Linked DNA regions of Caenorhabditis elegans. The protein of the gene in region 2 interacts with the protein of the main gene of each other region in a pairwise test. Each region holds a gene or a part of one and is shown on either strand. Other genes may lie near its edges. The genes, in order: spc-1, ztf-20, tra-4 and F49E2.2.

Region 1 (4,603 bases), on a different chromosome or scaffold from region 2:
TCGCCCCGAGCTGTATCGAATTTCTTTGCCTCTTCTCAGAGTGTGACGAACTCGAAAACGAGAGAGAACTAATAGTTTTCATTTGTGTTTCCTTCTCCTTCATTGCCGTCCTTCACTCATGTGTCCGCAGGAAGTTTTCGAACGCAGGTGGCCTCCATCCGGCACTTGACAGATTTGGCGCGGCTCCCCGTTTCCGGTGTTTGCTCACTTTTGTTATGAACCAAAGCTTGACCATGTCACTTAAGAAAAAAGCCCTTGAAGAATCCCTTTTTCGGCTTTTTGTGTGGATGCTTTTAGATTTGATAGAATGGGGTCCCCTATTGTTTTAAATCATTCAGTTGTTTAGCGTAAGTGGATGTAGTTATTTGAGTTTGGAGGTTTTGTATCGTGGTTTTTAAACTAAAACGAATATTCTTTTGTGCAAAGAAATTTCTAATTTGCTCATTTACTCACTTTTACTTCCAAATTTTGAAGTTATGTTTTTTCGGTTATCCTTCCCGCTTTCCCGCTTCCCGTTTTAATAATTTCTGTCACTTTCTCTTTCATCATCACTTCTTCCGTTCCAAATCGATTACCCAATTTTATTGACAACACATCAGTGAAACTTGCAAATATTTGGAGGACATACTTTATACTCCATCTCCGAATATATACATAAATGTGTGGTCGGTGGTGTGTGTGTTGGCGGAGACCCCGGAGAGAGAGAGAGAGTCAAACTGCGAGTAACTGGAGAGATGGAGGATGATGCATTCGGTGAGGGACTGTGTGCTGTTGAGAGGAAATCGCTGGCATTTAATAGAAGAGTGCGTTTTTGTGAGTGTGTGTGTGTGTGAGTGTGTGTGAGGGCAGTCAGAGCGCGGCTGTGTGCGAGGCTGAGCGGGACGAGCGCGTCCAGGCCTGCAGTCGTCTCCCCTCTTGTTGTCTCTGCTTCTCTAGCCACACTCTCTCGTTCTCTGCATTCGGTTTTGTGTTGGTGTTGTGGACGCGGGGGTCGTTTTGGGCGATCGATAGCTGCCAGCTCTTCTTGTACTTGAACCAGTTGAAGTCATCTCCTTTTTTCACTTTGAGAGCATATTCTTTCTTGTTTCATCATTTTCAAAATTTGCTGCATTGTGCAAAACCCCTTTTTTGTAATGTCTCTTCTGTTTCTGACAGCTGTGTGTTCAATTTCAACACAGCTTGTAAACGGCGGAGTCGGAGTTAGTCTGACTCATCGAAATATTGTTATCAGTTCAAAAATGTTGACAGTTGTGTGGGCTGGAAATGGAACCACCTTTTAAAATTACTTTTGACATGATATACTTTTTGAGTAACACTTTCTTGGTAAATTTTCATTCGTAGAATTTATAAGCTTATTAAATTAAAGCCACAAGCTTTCCCATTTTCTATTATTTTTTGTCTCCCAGGTGATTCTTTTCCGCACTTCGTCATTATTTGTTCCCACGTTGTATTTATCCTCTAAAGCTCTCTCTGATTTTTTTTGTTACATTCTTCTCATTTATTTGCTCATTTGTTTCTGTTACGGTCTCTTCATAATCAACTTTCTTTCATTTTCATTTCTATGGAGGTTTTAAAACAATTGTTTTTCAGCGAAATAAGATTATGGCTGATTCGAATGACACTCATGCTCCACCAGAGCCGGTGCTAGAAGTACCGCCACCACAGGAGATTCGTATTCTGGAGACTGCTGATGACATTCACCAACGTCGTCAGGAAGTATTAGGTCACTATTCAATTTTCAAGGATCACTCGCAGACAAAACGAGATCGTCTCGAGGAAGCTCGTCAGTTTCAATATTTCAAACGGTTAGTTCTAAAATTTTGTTGGGTTGTCTAGAATTCTAATTTTTCTGTTAAAGAGATGCTGATGAGTTGAACGTTTGGATTCTTGAAAAGCTCCAGACAGCTCAGGAAGAAAACTTCAGAGATCCGAGCAATCTCCAGGTTGGTACCATCTTCTCATTATTTCTCAGTCGTATTCATCATCTATTTCAAAGTTATCTAAAACATAAATTTTCTGTGGTTGGTCCCCAGCTTTCCATTCTCAATCCTTTTTGACGACAACTCGCACAATTCTTTTCTCTTGGTTCATTTTCCCTCGGGGGGACACTCGGACCCCTTTCTTCTGCTGCCTTGTTTGGGGGCACACAAATGTCTTTTGGGAGCAACGACAAAGGCGCAGCAGCAAAAATATATTGATTTGAGTGGTTCGCTTCAGCGCTTTTCTCTGTGCCTTCGTTTCGAGAAACGCATCTGCGACCCCCAACATGCATGCTCACTTGAAGATTAGGAACTGAAAGCAATGTAGTGCACAATTACATTTATAAACAATTGGCTCGAGTAGAGAGGAGTACATGTGAATTTTGCTAACTTAGTTATTTTCTGGGAAGCAGAAAAGATGAAAATGAAATCTTTTTACACAATATCGTCATTTTGGAAGATATGAGCGCTAGAAATTAGGAGTTAAAAAGTCTTTGAGGAAACAATTTTTTACTGCTCCTAATATCATTCACCTTTACTTATAATGAAACACACTGAAAACCCAATAAATTCCTGTGGGGGTTCCAATTAATCCTCGCCGCCGTTTTTTATCATGCGTTCCGATCGAAAGATGAGATGAATACATATAGTAATAGACGGGAATCTATAAAAAGTCGGGCGTTCGTACACGGCCTTGACACTGCGTAATCGCAACTGACGTGACCTGACTTGATCCGCCGGTTTCCTGTAATGCCTGGAATGATAAGTAATACTGACGAGTAAGAAGATAGATGAGGCGATTATGTTTCTGTTGCTAGGTTTAGCGGTTGAAAAAAAAATGAGAGTAAGAGTTGACTAGTTTTGAAGCATGAATTGAAAGAGAAAATTTTTTTACATCAAAATGAAAGTATGATCAAATGTAAATCATAAAACATTTTCAGGCCAAGATCCAGAAGCATGAAGCGTTCGAAGCTGAGGTTCAAGCTCACGCTAAGACCATCGCCAACCTCGACAAGACCGGAAACGCTATGATCCAACACAATCATTTCGCTAGCGAACACATCAAGGTACTTAAAATCACTAAAGACATTTGACAGTCTGATGATTAATTATTTTCAGAAACGCTTGGAAGAGTTGCACGCCCTCTGGGATAAGCTCTTCTTCAAACTGAAGGATAAGGGAATTAAGCTACAACAAGCACTTAAACTTTTGCATTTTATTCGTCAATGCGATGAAATTCTCTACTGGATTCGAGAGAAGGAAACCTATGTCACCGCAGAAGACATGGGAATGGATCTCGAACACGTTGAGATACTTCAGCGTAAATTTGACGACTTTTTGAAAGAACTCGGTAACCATCAGTACCGAATCAATGAGATCAATCAAGCTGCTGACAAACTTGTCGAGGAGGGACACTCTGAGCACGATCAGATCTACAAGAAGCGCGATGACGTTAATGATGCTTGGCATCGTTTGAACACTTTGGCGGCCACTCGTAAGGAAGGGCTCTTTGGAGCTCATCAAGTTCAACGCTTCAATCGCGATGCAGACGAGACCCTTGCATGGATTGGAGAGAAGGATCTTGCTTTGTCAAGCGATGATTACGGAAGAGACCTCAATAATGTTCAAGCTCTTCAACGCAAGCATGAAGGAACTGAACGTGATCTTGCTGCTCTTGAAGGAAAGATGCTCCAATTGGAGAAAGAAGCTCATAAGTTGGCAGAAACTCATCCAGATCGTGCTGAAGCGATTCATCAAAAGAACGATGACACCAAAGCCGCCTGGAATGCACTCAAGGAGAAGGCTCAACACCGCAAAGATGGACTTGAGAGAAGCTTCCAGCTTCATCGTTTCTTGGCCGACTACCGTGACTTGATTAGCTGGATTGGAGACATGAAAGCTGTCATCGGAGCTGATGAGCTTGCAAAAGACGTGGCTGGCGCTGAAGCTCTTCTTGAAAGTCATCAAGAACACAAGGGAGAAATTGATGCTCGTGCTGACTCGTTCAACCAAACTGCATCCGCTGGACAAAAGCTCGTTGAGATGGGAATTCCAGAGAGTCCAGAAGTTCAGGAGAAGCTCGAGAAACTTGACCACGAGAAGTCTTCTCTTCTTGGATTGTGGGAGGAACGTCGTATTCTCTACGAGCAATGTATGGATCTCCAACTCTTCTATCGTGACACTGAACAAGCCGAAACCTGGATGAACAAGCAGGAAGCGTTCCTTGCCAACACTGATTTGGGAGATTCACTAGATTCTGTCGAGCACCTCATCAAGAAACACGAGGACTTTGAGAAATCGCTTGCTGCTCAAGAGGAGAAGATCAATGCACTTGACGAGTTTGCTACCAAGCTCATTCAAGGACAGCATTACGCTGCTGATGATGTTGCCGAGAGACGCCAAGCTCTTCTTGACCGTCGTCGTCGTCTTCTAGACAGAGCTCGTCAACGTGGAAATGCTCTCAAGGAAAGCTACAAGCGCCAGACATTTGACCGTGACTGTGATGAGATGGTTAGCTGGATCACTGAAAAACTGTCCACCGCTCGTGACGATTCTTACTTGGATCCTACCAACATTCGTGGAAAACTCCAAAAGCACATCAACTTTGAGCAAGAGCTTAAGGC
Region 2 (5,000 bases):
CTCAATTTTCTGAAAAAAAAATTTTTTTTTCTAAATTTTAAAATTTTCTAATTTTTTTAAAACCTTCACATAGGTTTTCAAATATGCGGAATTCGATTTCTTTATTTCAATTTTTCCAATTTTTCCCTGTAAAGTGATAATTTCCAGCCTTACCACTCAGCATCCCATCGTGCCAGTGAATGGGAGTAGTCGGCCGGTCCAAATCCTCATCTCTATTGTTCAGAATAATTAATTTGTATTTTTCACTGGGTGAAGTAGCAATTTTAATAAATCCAATGCACATTTTGGAAAACTCTGGAAAAAATCCGAAAATGAATTTTTAATTGAATTTTTTGAATTTTTTGAATTTTTGGGTGAAAAGTGTTGGAAATTTGCAAATTTTGAACAAAAATGAGAAGTAGTTTGAAGAAATGAAAAATTCCAAAAGAAAATTTCCAAAAAAAAAAATTTCAAAAAAAATTTTTTTTCAAATTTTTTCAACATTGAATATTATCAGTGCTACAATACACATATGACCACAATATAGGCTTCAGTGCAAAAGTTTTTGCAGAAAAAAAGTTTATTCCCGGGGAAAATAACATACAAAGTACACACAGAAACGCGGGAAAAAATGATGACATTTTCTTTATCACAAAAAAATATCAGATAAGAGAACAATAATCAGAGATCATAAAACAATATATACACTGGAACAATACAAAAAAGAAAAGATAAATAATTTTTTTCCAAATTTTTTTATTTTTGAAAATTCCATAAATTTCATATTAAATTCAATTTTTCCTTTAAATTCTGAGCCTTTTACATTTTTTCTGGAGCTTCTAGCCCAAAATCTAGAAATTTGGGTTACTGTAGTTTTGGAAGTACGCAAACACCGGATTCTACGGAATTTTGCACAAAAACGCTGAAAAGAATGATATAGATGTGAAATTCGTCGGAGAGCTCGAATTTCACACTGAAAAAATGTTTAAAACTTCGGAAAATGCTGAAATTTCAGATTTTTGGATTTATATTGATTTTCGACACTAAAAATTGAGAATTCTCATGTTTTAATGTGCAAAATTCGAATTTCCCGTCGAATTCTGAGTGAGAATCGTTTTTCCCGGTATTCTAGCGCTGAATTTGAACATTTTCGGGTACTTCACACTGCAAAGGTTGAAAAAATCTCAAAAAATGCTGAAATTTCAAGCATTTAGAATTTTATGGTATTTTCCGCAGTTAACATTTGGTATTTGTATACTTTACTGAAAAATTCGAAATTTTTATCGAATTCTGAGCTAATCCGTCTATTTATAGGCTTCTAGAGTTAAATTTGAGAAATTTTGGGTACTGTAGCGCCGAAAGCACGCAAACACCGACTACCGTACTCAAAACACCGGACTTGACGGAATTTTGCACTAAAACTCTGCAAAGTTGCTACCCGAGGTAAAAGGTGATGAAAAACTAGAATTTTACAATAAAATCTCATCAGAAATTGCAGAAAATTTCGAATGATTTCTCTGACAATGTCGTTTCAAGTTCTTTTCACTATCACTGCTATATTCGCATTTCTCGCATCGAATTGATCCTCCTTTAATATTCATTCCACGTTGAAAATGTGTCTGATGATTTGTTTGTTTTCCATGTCTGAAAATATTTAAAAATTTAAGAAAAATCGTGAAAATCTGTAAATTTTAGAGAAAAATCGATTAAAAATCTGCAAAAATCAATAGAAACTGTTTTTGGTAACTACTAATTTTTTGGGCGCTGCTAATTTTTTGGGCGCTGCTAATATTTTAGGCGCTGCTAATTTTTTGGTCGCTGTTAATTTTTGGGCGCTGCTAATTTTTTAGGCGCTGCTAATTTTTTGGCGCTGCTAATTTTTTAAGCGCTGCTAATTTTTTGGGCGCTGCTAATTTTTTGGCGCTGCTAATTTTTTGGTCGCTGCTAATTTTTGGTCGCTGCTAATTTTTGGTCGCTGCTAATTTTTGGTCGCTGCTAATTTTTGGGCGCTGCTAATTTTTGGGCGCTGCTAATTTTTTGGCGCTGCTAATTTTTTGGGCGCTGCTAATTTTTGGTCACTGCTAATTTTTGGTCGCTGCTAATTTTTGGGCGCTGCTAATTTTTGGGCTCTGCTAATTTTTTAGGCACTGCTAATTTTTGAGCGCTGCTAATTTTTTGGGCACTGCTAATTTTTTAGCCGCTGCTAATTTTTGGGCGCTGCTAATTTTTTGGTCGCTGCTAATTTTTGGTCGCTGCTAATTTTTTGGGCGCTGCTAATATTTTAGGCGCTGCTAATTTTTTGAGCGCTGCTAATTTTTGGGCGCTGCTAATTTTTTGGTCGCTGCTAATTTTCTGGGCGCTGCTAATTTTTGGGCGCTGCTAATTTTTTGGGCGTTCTCACCTGTAAAGTGCTTTTCGATTAGGAAAACTCCCCGAACATTCCGCACAAATCGATTTTTCCCCGCAGATTTTTATCGATTTTTTCGGAATTTCCGGTGGTTTTTCTGGCGGTTCGGCGGGAATTTGAATTTTTCGCTCAATTTTTCGGCGAGGAGGTCGTGTCGCGTGTTCGGCGGTTTTTCCGTGTCTGAGAAAATATTTTTTTAAAGAAAATTTCTGTTTTTTTTTTAAATTAAAATATAATATACCTGTAAAGCCCTTTCCGATTGTTAAATGCATCTCCACACGTAAAACAGTACAATTCTCTAGGTTGTGACGTGACGAACGACGATGACGTAGTAGTGTCTAATGCCACGTCATCATAGTAGATGAAATCCTGCGATGACGTAGACGGCTCCAGGTGACCGAGAAAATCAGCGGCGGATGGATCCAAGAAATCTTCCTGAAATGATGAGAAATTGCAGCGCCCAAAAAATTAGCAGCGACCAAAATTCCAAATTTCCCAAACTTTTCCCTAATTACGTACCACCATATGTTTTCCCATATCCACTAGACATTCTTCCTGTGTATTTTGGAAGTTATCCTCAATAAATATCACACTTTGTGTCATTTCTTCAACTGCTGCGTCCATACGTTCTGGAAGTACTTTTTTCAAAAAATTAAAAAAATTTTGCTCGTCTCTACAAACCTATTGCTTCTGAAAGATGAACGTCTGGTAGTTGTGAAAATTCGTGTTTGAGTTGCTCTAGGTGTTCTAAGAAGCTTTCCATCTGAAAATTAGTTGATCGTGGCGGGACCCCCCAGAAATTCGAATATTTTCTGAAATTTTCAAACTTAGTCATGATTATACTTTTTCAAACCGCAGTGGTCTTCTGATTCCAAAAATTTACAGAAAATGGGTCTCACCACGAAAACCAGAAGTTTTCATGGCCGGACCCAAAAATTCAAACTTTTCAAACCTAGTCATGATTATACTTATTTAAACCGTCATTTTATACTAATTTCTAATAATGTCAAATGAAATCGATTGCTCGAAAATTCACACTTTTCGTGGCGAGACCCAAAAACTCGAAAAAATAAATAAATTCGGAGTCTAGTAATGATTATACTTATTAGAACCGCCATTTTATGCTGATTTCAAAACTATAAAATTTCAGGAATTTCGATCGAAAATCACCGAGTTATCCTAGTTTTTCTGATTTTCGCGGCGGGACCCAAAAATTTAAAATTTTTAAATAGTCGTGATTATACTCATTCAAACCGCGCATTTCATGTCAATTTGAAAACTATTATGAACTAGAAATTTCGATCGAAATTTGCCGAGTTCCGCTAGTTTTTTGGTTTTCGTGGCAGGACCCAAAACTCAAAAAAAAATTAATGAATTCGAAACCTAGTCATGATTATACTTATTCGAACCGCTGTGATCTCCTGATTTCAAAAACATACAAGAAAACCAGCGGGTTACTGTAGATTTCATGGCAAGGCTCAACTTTTACAATTGTCGTTAAGTTATAATGGAAATTCGAAACCATATTGTGTAAAAGTGACTCAAAATTGAAAAAAAAAAACAATTATTTATTTATTTTGAAAATTAAAAAAATTCAAACAAAAATCCAAAAAAAAAAATTTTGAAATTTTTTATTTCAAAATTTAAATTTTTCGCATTTTCAAAAACTAAAAAAAATTTAAAAAATCATTTCAATATTCCATCGTATCCTGCACAATAACTTCTTCTTCTTCAATAATTTGTTCATGATCCCACACTTCTTCTTCTTGTTCCTGATGTACAATATGGTGGTGGTGCTCCACACCGAATCTCTGCTCCATTCTAGCCAAAAGCCCGTCGGCCCGGTCTAAAACCGCCGAAAATCTGTCCTGATTTTGCATTTCTCGTCGAATAAGCTGTAATTTCAGCTCGTGAAGGTTTTCAGCCGATGTTGATGACGTGGATTGTTGGGGTTCCGGTGGGAAGGTGACACGTTTTAGTAGCGGTGGTGGTGATGGGGCAAGGTTTCTGGAAAAAAAACTTTTGTTAAAAAACATTAAATATGATATTTCTTATTGAAAAATAGAAAATAGAAATTTGAGATTTTCAAAAAAAAAAAATTTTTTTTTCAAAATTTTTATATTTAATTTCGAATTCCGTACTTCTGCAAATTTTCTACCACAGGATCCATAGAACCAGTAGCCTCCACAAATTCTTGTTCCTCATCAGCAATTTGTTGATATCTCGAGTACTCCTTAGACTCTGTTCGTACTCCATTTTGCTTGAAAGCTGGCTCAAATTGAATTGGTTCACCTTTCCAGTAGTATACAATTACAGCGTACTCAGGGGATCCCGGGAAACTGCAAAAAATTCGGTTTTTGAAGGTGGAAAGCTCAAGAAAATTGGTTTTGTTTAAATTCTACATTCTCTTTAAAAAAATACAATAGCTTTGTTCAATTTTTCATCTGAATCCCTATATTTTACAGTATTTCTGAATAGATATATCGAATTAAAACTCAAAACCACAATAGTTTTGCTCGAAGTGATTCAAATATTGTATATATTTTGTTTCGAACGCGCAAAATCGAGTGTATTTATTTTCAGTGAAAAAGTTTTCTTTCAATCGTGTTGGTTT
Region 3 (5,910 bases), on a different chromosome or scaffold from region 2:
CAATGGAACTATAACTTTTCCAATTAAAAATACTTGAAATTAAAAACATTGAAGGATTCAAGTTTGATCCGTTCTTCAAGCACCACGTGGTGTTAGATTGTCCCATTTTGGTTTGCTTTATGTAGATCTACAAAAAATGCGGGAGGTGAGACGCAGAGTTCTCGTCAAATTTTTAAAGGCAAAAAATTCCCGCATTTTTTGTAGATCAAACCCTGATGGCACAGCCACACACCACGTGAAGCGCCATGCACCGCGCATCTGAAAGTCAAGTACACTGCCCGGTGGTACTCCCACTAGGCTTTATTTTAAGCCACGTCCAAGCCAGTGACTGTGGCCAATATTTTCCGTTAAGGTTGTGGGAACCTAAAGGGAGGCAGGACTTGTATTTCTCATGATTGCTACCGTCCTACCACCTGAGCATTTCCTGTAAGTTATCATGGTAACAAAAATGCAAAAAAAAAACAAAAAAGCGAAAGGTTCAGCAATTCAATGTGAACTATGTCATAAATTTCAAAATATCTACATATAGTAACCTGATTTATTTGTGTGTATATCATGAATAAAGTTGAATGATTGATAGCACGCTAGATTAAAACATTAAAACACGTCCATGGTCTGAAAAAAAGTAAGAGGTGTTACAGTAATAGTACAATCAACATTAAATGACAAAATTAAACCCTTTTTAACATAATCGGGAAGTGAAACAAAAACAAACAAAAAATTGAAAAAAAAATGTATCAAATGAAAGTGTGGTAGTTTTGATGAAGATCTGTGATGATGAAGAAGTTTCACTCGCCTTTGTAGAGTATCCACATCCGCGGAGTCTCCACGTATGCTGTAATTAAAATTCAATTTTAAAAATTCTGTCATTCGTTTTTCAGTGATACCTGTCGGCTCATCTGCTGCCAGGTAGCCTCCGTGCTCTTCATACACGTGATGTTTCATCTCGGGGTATTCCGCGTGACGTTCGTGACAAATCGCGCAAACATATCCATGCTCATCTCTCTTGTGTTCCTGGAATCAATATAATTAAAAGTTCATATAAGGGTATTCATGACAAAAGGGCAGGCACCAGGATATAATCTGATCTCATTGTGAGTCCTCGATTTCATCGCCGTAATAACATTGATTTTTCTTTTTTGTTTTTCTTCTTTTTTACATGTATGTTAATCCTATCTCAGAGCACCCCTTCAAAAAAAAACAAATGTCATTTTTACCATGTGATTTTTTATTATGACAAATGCTGACTTGAAGTTAATGTGTGAAAGAATAAGCTCACCTCCATAGCAGTGTATCGGTTTGCACGAAAGTCGCAAACTTTGCATTCAAACTTTATAATTCCCGTATGCATTCTCTCATGGGTCATCACTGCAACTTCACTAATGAATATCTCCTCGCAAAAATGACATTGGAACGTTTTTGTGAACACATGGGACATCTTCTTGTGCTTCCGAAGTTTACGCGGTGTAAGGAACTTCATGTTACAGAACGAACAGCGGAAACCAGAGTTCGCTCCACGATGGAACTTCTTTCGGTGATTTAGGAGACGATTGTCGGTGCAAAGATTTCTGATCGGAGTACATTCGAAGCAAACATAAGTCTGAAAATATTAATTATTTAAGAGCTTGTCTTTAGTTTGAACTGGAACAAAGATCCAGAATGTAGTATTCAATTATAAGTTTTAAAATAAAGAAATTTAAGTGTATTTGTTATTTGTTATAAATGAGGGTTTTAAACTAAAGTAGCGCCAGTGGGGAAATTGTTAGAAACCCCTGGCGCCAAAATGGCCAAATACAACACTTTTTTGATTTTTTTTTTCCCTAGTCCAACAGGAGCTATTACTGAGATTTTGCCACTTTTTGAGATAACTATAGCAATGTCGCATGATCAGAGTCCTACAAAGTTTGAATATTAATATTTGAAACAAAATTGAAATATTAAAAAAATAGAAGGAAATTTTTTTTTGATTGGCCAGGTAACATTTTTAGAGTTTTTTGTATTGTTTCTTACCAATTCACAGTCGTGATTCGCCATCTCTGCATCATTTTCAACACATTTAAAACATTTGAGACACTGCTGAAACTCGACCATCTCCTCGTGCTTCTTTGCAAAATGTTTCTTGAGGGAAAACTCATTTCTAAAACGTTTATCACAGAACGGACATTGCGGCGACACTTTTTTCTTGTACGGACGCTTTAGTTGCTTGATTCTTCCATAATAGTCAAAACGTGGGACCAGGCCGCCATTGTTTTCTCCGGGAAGGGGAATACTGAAAATGCATGACGAAATTTAGAAAATAAACGGAAAACTGCTGAACCTACTAGTTTGGATCCTCAGATGGTTGAGAAATCTCGTTTTCCGGCGGGATGAATCCTCCTGTTTGTAGCTCTTCAATGCGATTTGCTTCGATTTCTTCAAGCCGTTGCAGCTCCACTTCTTCTTCTTGTTCACGAATATATTCCTCGTAGAGATCTGGATGTTTGTCGCGCAGATGTCGTTCATAAATGTTCTTCTCGATAAATCGATTCTTGCACTTTTTGCATCGAACCATTTTCTGTCGAATCAGCTTGCGTACAATCCGAACATCCGTTGGAGCATTCGGTGGAGGAAGATCAATTCCATCCTGATGATCGGCTAGAGTTAGTGTCTGTTGAACTTCAGCAATACGGCAAGGAGGAAACTTCGAAGGGTCTCTGACCCGAAATCCCAACTCATCAAGAACAATTCGCTCTTTCTGGATGGGCTTGATTTCTCCTCGAATTTGCTTCATAAATTCTCCGACTCCACTGAGCTTTGCACGTTCTTTCTCTGGCTCTTCTTTCTCAACAGGAACCTTTGCTGACATTCCGAGTGCTTGAGCTAGAAGTTCTGAAAAAACACACGTTATTAGTAAAAACTTGTAGTTAGATGTTTCAAATTACCAAAACCGATTCCCTTTTTGATCTCTTCATCGTCGTCATCGTCCTCCTCGTCGTCATAGAGCTCGTCCTCATTAATTGTCGTTTTCTCTGTTTCAAGTAATGGAATCAAATCGGTCTTGTTATTCAAATCCATCTCATCGTCGTCGTAGGTGCCTTGCCAATTTGCTTGGTTGGTGTCGATAGTAAGCATCAGCATATTACTGAAAATTAAATTAATTAAATGATTTTTTCTGCATATTTTGAACGTATAGGCCCGATATGTGCTCAAACAAATGATTTTCGTAATGAAATCTTCACAATTATGGCGGTTCGAAATTTGGAAAAAATGGCCTAGCCGTACCTAAAACCTTAAATTTTGGTCACTTCCCGTATCTGATCGGTTGGAAGTTCACTTTTCTGAATTAACATCCCTTTGGACAATTTGGTCGTTTGGTACATTTAAAACTGTTAGGTGATCAATTTTTGTTATTTTTGGTCACCAATCGGCTTCAAAAGTACCCAAATTTACAAAATAAAGTACTATCAAAATATGCAATAAAATTTTATAATTCCAAAAAAGAAAATTTCCGACCTCTGCGACACAAAACAAGTTGACAAAATTAAGGATTTCAGCTAGTTTGGCTGTTTTTGAACCGACATAAAAATATTTTGAGAAATTTCATTACGAAATTCAAATATAGATTAACCAGCCGTGGACCGCACCTTCGGCGCGGCCCCCGACTTCTGGGGCTGAAAATTGATTTTTTATGAAACTACCGTCACCCTACAGTATTCCTACCGTACCACAATTGTACCACTACAGTACCCCGACTATATCCCTACACTAACCCTAACTCACTATCCCTACAGAAGCCAAAACTTCACAGACTACAAAGACCACATAGACTACAAACTATGGACACACAGAATAAGCGCTTTATATATAGTAAATGATTTTTTCGGATTTTACATATATTATAAAAAGAAACAAAAAAAACTTACTCCATTGTTGAGGATGAACCTTCTTCAATCGCCGGTTCTTGTTTCAAATTTTGTATCGTTGGCGCCTGAAATTGGGAAGAATTTTTGAGATTAGAAAAAAAATAACAGAAACTCACCTCTGTAGGTCTTGGTCGCGTTATGGAGTCCTCCTGTTTAATAGTGCATTGATTTGGGTCATCCATTGCCTGAACCGTGGGAAATAGTGGGTCGATAGTATGCGCGCGCGCGCACCAAAACACTGCACATTACAGGCGTACGCAGCGCGACCGCATCGCGTCTCTTCATTGAATTTCAGAGTTTCATCGATTAACTGGTTTTTGCAGGATTTTAAATAATTTTTTCAATTCATTTGATTGGAAAATAAAATAATTTAGGTTTGTGGAACTAAATCGAAATATGATATAAACATTTAGTTAAAAAATATATTAAAAAATACTATTTTCGAAAAAAACAAAAAAAGAATTACCGATAAAAATGTATTTGTAAATAGAAATATTGTAAAAATAATAACCTTGAAATATATATGAGACGCTCTCAAAAACGAAATGGAAGAGTTAATGCTATGGGTTTTCTAGTCCGCCTGTCCTCAAACAAAGAACGAAGGCTTCGCAGACAGATGTTTTAAAGATGAAGTAGCGGCATTGAAAAACGTGTTTAAAACTTCTCTATTAAAACCAAAATAGGCGAATAGTATTGTAAAACTTTTCAAAAAAGTTTAAATGTTTTATTTAAAATATATTTACTTATTTTTGCAACTCAAAATTTGGAAGCCGACAAAAAAAGTTTTTTCTACGCTTTTTAATACTTTAATTTTGTTTTCAATATTTCTGTTAAAACATTCTAGTGTTTGGAACACGCGATATTGCTCTGGATTTTCATAAAAGCTCTTTTTTTTTTTAAATTCTACTCTACCTCTAGCACACTGGGTTAACCGTTTAGAGTAACATTATGGAAATAAAAAAATATGAAGGTTTAAAAAATTTCATTGTCAAAATTATGAACACATATGAACCGGATTGATTGAGGACAAGAACACCACTTTACACGTGGCGATTGAGAAGTTTTAATGCAAATAAAAACATACAAAACAATGTTAATTCAAATTTTATATCAATTCTTTGTAACAATCCAGGTGCCGCCACCATATGGAAGTAGAGAAGCAGAAACCTGAAAAATGTAAAGTTTCTGATTTTTAATTAGTTATCTTAATATATTGGTTCAGGGTATTTTGAACGTATATACCAACAATGTGCTCAAACAAACGAATTTAGTTTTGAAACTTCACAAAAACTAGCGCTGCGACACTGAAAACTGCTCAAATTTTGAGAGAACAAGCCCAATTTTCTTTTAAATTTTGAATCCCCATAAAACATTTTGAAAATTTTTTCAGAAGTTTCATTTTGAAATTCGTTCAAAATACCCAAAACCGATACTCCCCCTTTCACTGTCTCAAAAATTTTTAAGTTAAATTTCTCACCCGGGGGTCTTGTTTGATGCGTATGTTCATGTTTCGAATGACCCTGTCATCGTTGGTCATGTGATCAATCGATGACATCACTCCACCACCATTGAGTGCCTAGAGAAAACAAAACGTAAAACTATTATTTCTAATTAAGAAATGAGGGACCTGGTTAATGATTAAAAGACCACCACTTCGAATCAGTCGAATTGCGTGTTCATAATCATCCAAATAGTTTTCCCTCTTAAAATCATCCAGAAACACAAAATCGAAAGTGTTGGGTTCATTTGTTGCAAGTCGAGGCAATGATTTTTCGATGCTTTCAGATGTTCTCATTTGAATTCTGGACATTTGCGTAGCCGTGAGTTTTCTTGCGTGCTTCTGCCCAATTTTATCCCAGAAAACAGCATAGGCCGGATGCTCAAGTGCGACAACAATTCCTCGAGAATCAACTCTTTCGGCGACACCGAGTAATCCAAGACCAGTGAATACTCCTGAACGTTTATTTTAACAATACAAATCAATTTTTCATTATAACAAGTACGTTAA
Region 4 (7,629 bases), on a different chromosome or scaffold from region 2:
GCCTTTTGTGTGTTCAATCTGAAATTGAACGATGAACGACAAGTGAACTTTCAGAATTTTCTTATATTTTCTTATCTCTTTCTCTGATTTCTGAAGCTCATTTGCACAATATGTTTAAGAATACCTCTTGAATTTTTAGTCTGACTGCTTCTCTTTTTTGTTCGGGCGTCAACGTGAGTATTGGTTCGGCATGTTCTCGTAATGGAACAGTTAGTTGTTTTACAATTTCTTCTGTTGACGACTTGACCCGTGACCATTGAAATAACTTTTTTCCTGCTCGACAACTCATCTGTAATATTTATATCAAAACACTTTTAAAAATGCGGTGCGATTAATTTATTGATTAGGAATTGAGAAAAAAAACAAAACCTAGAGAAAAGGTGTAAAGTAAACTCCAAGCAGCACATTGTGGCTCTCACGCTCAAACATAAATCGTGGGCGTTGAAACCATAGAAAATGCAAAACGGAACAACGGGAATGTTTTGTCATCATACAGGTTGATGGGCACTCTACTCTGCATTGGTGATTTGCAATTCAATTCCGAAAAGTGATTTTTGTGTCGACGAAGGAGAAAACGAACGTGTTGCAGAGAACAAAAAGAAAAAGAGGGATAGAGGCTCAGGAATTTTGGACTTTATATATCAGGAAATGTATTTTTAATGAAAATGAAATATCATGATTCGGTCTAACGATTTGAAAAACTCAGTAACTTTTGAATGTCAATAAAAAATTTTTATTCCAGCTGTTGAAAAGTGTTACTATTCTATTTGATCATTTTGGCATTTTATGGATAATTTTTAACAATTTTCTTACTGTCGCTACTCCACCTTAATTAATTTCTGATGCAAGTTATTAATTTCTGATGCAAGTTATCAATGTCTGATTTTCAAATGGTTCGTGAAAATAAATCGAGGTTTTATCATTATCTTTTAATCAATATGATTCTGACGCTAGAAACACAATATTTCTGGAAGAGACAACAACATTGTTTGTCAAAAGATAAACAAGCGAATATATTTCAGAACATTTGTGTGCTCTTGACTATCATTTCCTCATAGTTTCTAAATCAGAAGGAGTGTTGCCATTATGAGTAAGTTAAATACCGTGTCCCAAAAATATAGTGTACTCATAAACCCCTTTTTTTAAAGTTGTCACGTCCTCCAAGTGTCCCATCTTCCAAACATCTCTATTTCTCTCTGTCTTTCTTTCTGACGTGTCTTTTTAACTCTTTTGGTGACCCCTGTAATTTGTACATTGTATAATAAAGCATAGACTATTTGAGACAGAGAGAGCGATGTGAAAAGGGCACTTGATACAACGTAAAAAAAATTGTTACAGCTGGCATCTTCAATCTGGGCGCTCGACGATCTTCGCTGATTGGGATGAAACTATGGAGATGGAGAGGTGAGGATTTTTGGGGTAAAAATATTCAATCAATTTAAGTGACTCATACAAACACAAAAAAATCATGTTATCAAAATCCATTCAATAATAAAATTGCAAAAAATAAATACGGAATGTTCCAATCTGCCTCCCTCATTCCCATCCCATTCCATTCTTTTGTTCTGTTTGTCCTGGTTTTCATCGAAATATTGATAAACTCCAATGGAATCTGCAACTGACGAGTTTTACTACCAATCTCGCATTCCACCACAGCCATCCCCTTTACCAGCTCAAACTCTTGAAATTAACGGTCACAAATATGTTCTCAATCATCGTTTCAAGAGTATCAAGATTGGTAAGTATGGTTATACGTCCGAGTGATTGGCAAACGACCTCGGGATACATACGTTTTGTTAGCCGGATAGTTACGACGTGTTTTTTTGGAGGGAGAAGACGAACGGAATAGAAAACTTAGACATTAGTCATGCTTGTCAGTTGTGTCGCGCGTCTCTTTGTGCCAAAAAACTTCGCCACATGTTAAAAGGTTGGTCAACTTTTGTTTGTATCGAGGGAAATACTGAACTTAAATGCAACATTAATATTTTCATAGAATAAAATGTAAGTATTAGTTTCAAAAAGTTACATTTTAAAGCTTTATAATTTGCAGCTCAATTTATATTTTCAAATATCTCTGAGAAGCATGTGAAAATATAACTTTCATTTTGAGGTGTTCGTAACATTATATAAGTTCTCGTCTTCTGAACACTACCTAGAAATTTAATATATTGTTGGAATTGGAGTTGGAAATGTTGGAAATCATGTGGGGATGCCCGAATGTAGGTGTCCCTGTAAGACAAAACTAGGCAAATCAATAAACACGATTTTTTAAGTGATAATGTGTATGTATTGTAGCTTTTACTTGTGAATTAATTTCATAAGCAACTTAACTTAACTGTGCTAGTGGTATTTTTTGTTTAGTTACATTTTCCTAACAATGATACACTTATTTTGATTGAGCAAGATGCTCAACATATTTCTACTGTCTTTGATGTTTCACATGTATAACGCAAATTTTGAACATACATGTTCAAAAAATCATTATTTACTCACTTATTAACAACATTGGTATGACAATGTAATTTAAATTGCGGTATATTAAATCAATAATTTTTTATGGTTTAAAATAAGTTTTGAGTTTTGACTACTTCTCTAAATTTTGAATAAATTACAAAACGAGTTACTTGTAAAGATGCCGATCAACTTTTGTAGCACAATAATTAAAGTTGTCCTGTACTTTATTCATAGCTTTATTTAATTCTAAACAAATTTTATTTTACTTCACGGGTCAGTGTTCAGAATTGAAACAATTAAAACAAACTAGAGTTCAATGTTTTACTAATAACACTCACTATCAGGTTTCTTTACAAGCTTAAACGATGCGTTTTTTATATTTTTATATTATTTAATTTCAAATTATTCAAATGTTGTTCAAAAAGTTGCATACGGCTTGTCATTTTTTTTTGTCAGATGTCACCATTCTCTGTTGTCACGCTCTTAAAATTGATAGTGTCAAAATGTCAACAGTATTTCTTCACACAATCAGAATAGTCGCTTCAGAATGGCACAAAAACTTAAAGTAGGCGGCGATTTTTGGTTTTGTTTCACACTCTCCCAATCTGCCAGGTTTCTCGCCGCTTGGCGCCGATGCCCGGGTAATGTACATAATCAAACGCACGCAGCATACCAAAGTCGGGGCTCTTATCACTTGCACAACGCTTTTTCAATAGGTGCCTGCCGCACTGCGTCGTTTCATGAACTTGGTTGTACGCTCGCCTCATTTTCTTATAGAGTGTACACTGTTTTAGGCGTTTTGCCGGCATAATGGCCATTATTTTACTCCAAAAATGAAATATTTTTTGTTTCATTCCTTTCTTATGACACATGTTGCGGTGATAACCATAATCGTTATGATGGAAAGTGGAATTCAGGAATGTTGGCAAACAAAATGACTTTATAACACTATTTCTTCAAAAAATATAGATATTTGTGTTTTATTGATTTAGGTTCACCGTCTTAGGGTTTTTTTAAGTTCTATAACTTGTTTAGTTGTATATTTTTTATAATATTTAGTGTCGCATGCCTTTAGCAATTAACAATATCAATAAAGAAAGTTTCTCGGATGGCAAAAGCGTTATCTACAACAGACCAACCCTGCCCATAAAATATTATAAAACTTTTCCCGCAAAAGTAGTGCATTACTTATGAAAATTGAATGTCAAACAGTTTGCAAAAAGTTGGTTTTCAGTCTCTCATCGGTATCCACCAATCATCCCGATGTCGGTCGACGAACAAGCGGTACCACCGGAGGTTTCGCCTTCAATGGCTGCCAACATTCCACAGATGGTCCACGATCAGCTAGCCGCACAGTTTTTGCCAGGTACCTCTTGTTTAGGTTAACATACACAACAAAATTTCAGCGGCAAAAAATCTTGGGCAAGCCGGAATGCATCTACTGAAAACATATTACAGTAAGTATTTTTGATCAGAAAACAATAAGTTCTCTTACACAGTATTCTTTCTATGCTTTTGTTGTATTTTAAAAAACCTGAGAATGCCTAAATTGTGGCTCGAAAATAGCGGCAACAGGGAAAACAATCGGCGAAGAAAGATATAGGTTCCTTCGCTACGAGATATTCCCGCGCCAAAACGGTAGGCACTCTCATGATCTCATGGTTTCTTAATATTGTAAGAGATGAGAAGTAAAAAAAATTAGAAAACGTTACTGCAAAAAGTTGGCAAATATACGTTGAAAGTATTATAGTTATCATGGTCGGGACGGTTTGTAACAATGGCTCAATAATGTGAATAAAATATACTCAGCTCATCCCATTTCTGTGTTAATAATTTGTTTATAACTCAATTCAGTTTGTATCGCAACACATGAAAACATGTGTAGTTGAAAGACGCATTCATAGAACTCGAGTTTTATATTTTCATAGTTTGTGCCTAAAAATTCAATGACAAAAACTATATTTTTTGTGAGAGTGGAAATTGAAACATTTTCGTTTGCAATCCATATCAATGTAGGTCAAGAAAAATAGCTTTTCAATAATCACATCAAGTTTTCAAGATGACAAGAGTATATAAAAATTTGCAATTTTCAGTGTTCCAAGAAGCATTGTCAAACTATTGTGATGCCACTCACAAACTTATCAAATCAGCTGATACTGCTGGACACAAATCGAAAAATGAAGCTCGAGAGCTTTCAAAAGTTTTTAAAGAGTTTGTACAGGGAGTAAATGCTCATCAAAAAGTCGTAAGCATCAATCTAAAGAAAAGTTTCGCATTCAATATATAATTAAACATAGATTACGGAATTTGACGCGCTGGCACACAAAGTTCATGACTATAGCAACAAGGAAAAAGACAAGCTGAAGACAGAATTTGCTGAGTACAAAGCAAAAGAAAAAAAACTTCTGAAACGCAAAAATGGAGAAACTGAACAAGATATTACCGCGTTCCATAAAAAAGAAGCAGCCAGCTGGGCAAAACAACAGGAAATGAGATACAAATTTTTCAATGACAAGCTGCAATCCTGGATTCACGGGTGAGTTAAATGTAATTAGAATTGTGAAAATAGCAACATTAATTCAATTTCTGGAAAAAAAAACTCTCATAAAATATTATCAGATACGTCGAAATTGGGAAATTATTCCAAGCCCAAGAAGTGATTGTTCAGCCAGCAGTTGGGAGTGTGATCGCTGCACCGGTTGAAATTGAGACCATACCAGAAGACCACAAAGATTGGCATCAAGATTTACATGAGCATGCCGCCGTTGTTGCAGCTGAGGAAATTAAAGAGAATGTTGAAAAGGTAAAACACAATTTAATGCGTGTATATCATATTAAATTTCAGAAAGTAGATGAAGCTGTACAGGACAGCCGCAGCAATTCGACTTCATCGGTTGCAACAACGCTAGAGGATCTTCCATCTTCTCGTCGTCTCACAAATGACGTTTCCGGAGTCACACTGGTTAGTAATTATCGCCGTCAATCAATTGAGGTTAGTTGAGGACTAATATGTCATGTGAAGAAATGTTTCAAAGTTGTTATAAGTCAATATTGTGTATAAACAATAGGTCATAGTTACATTAAATCACGTACATAAAACTTATAATACATACGTTTCATTTTGTATTAAAAAAAAAGAACACTCACATTTTCAAAGTTTATTACTATGTGTAAGCCATCGGACTAGTTGTAGGATACTTAAAATTTGAACTGTTGAAGCAAGGAGGTATTCAAAATTTCTCCTATTTTGAAAAATTCGCATCTGCAATAACACTATTTTTTAATGTTTGTATAATGTCCGCATGTGCTATTAAATTATCTAGGATAAAAATCAATAAAAAACGCAACATTTTGAATTTTAATTTAGATTAAAATCAGTTTATTTATTCATAGTTAAGCCTGCATGAACTTTCAATCAGCAACACAGTGTTTTCAAAATTTAACAATAGAATTCAAAAATGTTTGTAAACATCGAAGCAAAAGTCTTTAATCGAAAAAAGAAATATTAGCATCGTTTTGTCAATTAGATTTTATTGAGTTTTCACTTTGGTTTTGAAATCTTGGCAATCTTTCTATCACGTTTTAGAAATGTTACGCGAATTTTAAAAGGCTGACTGAAGAACAACTATTTTCACGTGTTACATAATTATCAAAATTTTTTCGTAACAACTTCACGTGTTTGTTTAATGGTAGAATAGCGACGTATGAATAGTTGCTCTATTTGACTCAAAATTACCTCACATAACATTACTATATTTTATTTAATCTTTCACATAAAGTTTTTATCAAAGATTTGAACTGCAGTAAAAACATTTCATATTCTTATTATGTATTCACAACGTGCCCCGAATTAAAATACCATGCATTGGTTTTTACAAACAGTAAATGCAACTGGTTTATTTCGAAGAAAAATTTAATTGCCGTATTAATTTCAGATTCAACAACTTCCACCCAACAACAGCTACTCCCACATTGCTCCACCAGTCTTGCCGCCAAAACCAGTTGTCGAAAACCCCCAATATGCTCCGATTCGCGCTCAACCAGTTCCAGTCACACGCCAGGAGGAGAGCACATACGCCCCTCGTCATAATGTTGTCGCCGAGGTAAGCATCTGGTGTAATCATCTTTTCACTCGCTATTATTTGTCCATTTTGATAAAACTATGCGTTTCCAGCAAGTGCCTCAACAGCCGGTTAATAGCGCTCCAGGTGGTGTCCGCCGTGCTGGAAACACAATTCCAGGTGCTGTTAATGTTTTCGGATTTGCAAATCAATCAAATCCTCAGCCAAATGTCCGCTACACGCCTGTTCAGGTAAAAACTATTCGTGTAATTTTCAATTTTCAAGTGTGATAATCCTTCAGAATAGCACGCCTTATCAAGTTGTTACCAGCGATTATATTCGCGTTGGGAGAGTCGTCGATAATCCAGTGACAGAGGAGCAAATGAATGCTAAAAAGTGAGTACTCACAAGAAATTTGAAAAAAAGAACGACATATTCAGATTCCACGTGGATTCTAGTTACCTTCCAATGGCTGCTCCATCTCACCAAGCACAACAACACAGTCGCAATCATAGTACAGATATTTCGGTTCCATCATTCTTCAACCCATCACAATATGGAAGTATTCTGATTGTTAACGATGATTTCAATGCTTCTTCCGGAGAACAGATGACTGTGAATCGTGGAGACAAGGTACCAAAAACTTTCTAAATAATTTTGAAAAATTAAACTAAAACTTGTTACTTTTTGTGACGTCAAGAAGAAAACAAAAAGAATATAAAACTTTCAAGCAAAACGGCAAACCGATAAAATTTCTAACAACAGACCGGTGCCCTAAAAAAGTGGTAACATTTGCCTGTATCAATATTTTAATTTGACACTATTATAGGATTTGAAAGCCTACATGAGTAGAGTTTCATGAATGTTTTTTTTAATCAAAATCAATTTAAGGTTATTAATTTTTTATCAAAAAAATCTTAGCATTGGTTCGAGATATTTAATTTATGGAATTCGTTTTTACATTCAAACAAGTCCTTACTGAACATTTGTCTAACAGGCTCTTTGTAATATTTAGTATTGAATTAGAGAATACTTGCAAAACATAGTGTAGTTGAAAACTATGTTGATGTTGTTCTTTGTTAGATATTTTGAAACATGCATTAGTCACCTCCAC

The links.
Region 1: the proteins of ztf-20 (region 2) and spc-1 interact in a two-hybrid assay, tested with the Caenorhabditis elegans proteins (one large-scale study listed by BioGRID).
Region 3: the proteins of ztf-20 (region 2) and tra-4 interact in a two-hybrid assay, tested with the Caenorhabditis elegans proteins (one large-scale study listed by BioGRID).
Region 4: the proteins of ztf-20 (region 2) and F49E2.2 interact in a two-hybrid assay, tested with the Caenorhabditis elegans proteins (one large-scale study listed by BioGRID).

Annotation. Positions count from the first base shown.
Region 1 is NC_003284.9:3,124,061-3,128,663, reverse strand, and holds the start of spc-1 (Spectrin alpha chain), read left to right. Parts: upstream 1-1,602; coding exon 1,603-1,805; intron 1,806-1,858; coding exon 1,859-1,943; intron 1,944-2,920; coding exon 2,921-3,046; intron 3,047-3,098; coding exon 3,099-4,603.
Region 2 is NC_003283.11:18,957,024-18,962,023, forward strand, and holds ztf-20 (C2H2-type domain-containing protein), read right to left. Parts: upstream 3,150-5,000; coding exon 3,068-3,149; intron 3,025-3,067; coding exon 2,906-3,024; intron 2,822-2,905; coding exon 2,628-2,821; intron 2,567-2,627; coding exon 2,381-2,566; intron 1,624-2,380; coding exon 1,449-1,623; 3' UTR 544-1,448; downstream 1-543. Other genes in the region: hrg-10 (DUF833-domain-containing protein), read right to left, coding at 154-283; Y39B6A.43 (DUF4124 domain-containing protein), read right to left, coding at 4,078-4,393, 4,528-4,725.
Region 3 is NC_003284.9:2,853,154-2,859,063, forward strand, and holds tra-4 (Zinc finger protein tra-4), read right to left. Parts: upstream 4,093-5,910; 5' UTR 4,085-4,092; coding exon 4,019-4,084; intron 3,968-4,018; coding exon 3,903-3,967; intron 3,122-3,902; coding exon 2,922-3,121; intron 2,869-2,921; coding exon 2,322-2,868; intron 2,270-2,321; coding exon 2,011-2,269; intron 1,601-2,010; coding exon 1,280-1,600; intron 1,015-1,279; coding exon 888-1,014; intron 836-887; coding exon 789-835; 3' UTR 526-788; downstream 1-525. Other genes in the region: comt-1 (Catechol-O-MethylTransferase family), read right to left, coding at 5,013-5,069, 5,380-5,478, 5,530-5,855. UniProt on the Caenorhabditis elegans protein: Probable transcription factor. Promotes normal hermaphrodite (XX) development, in concert with histone deacetylase hda-1 and nasp-1, perhaps as components of a complex.
Region 4 is NC_003284.9:9,565,691-9,573,319, forward strand, and holds the start of F49E2.2 (SH3 domain-containing protein), read left to right. Parts: upstream 1-1,605; coding exon 1,606-1,738; intron 1,739-3,092; exon of another isoform or gene 3,093-3,217; intron 3,218-3,345; exon of another isoform or gene 3,346-3,366; intron 3,367-3,688; coding exon 3,689-3,820; intron 3,821-3,860; coding exon 3,861-3,911; intron 3,912-4,547; coding exon 4,548-4,699; intron 4,700-4,751; coding exon 4,752-4,990; intron 4,991-5,073; coding exon 5,074-5,257; intron 5,258-5,299; coding exon 5,300-5,446; intron 5,447-6,389; coding exon 6,390-6,557; intron 6,558-6,628; coding exon 6,629-6,766; intron 6,767-6,816; coding exon 6,817-6,911; intron 6,912-6,955; coding exon 6,956-7,148; intron 7,149-7,629. Other genes in the region: moc-5 (GTP 3',8-cyclase), read right to left, coding at 1-18, 125-289.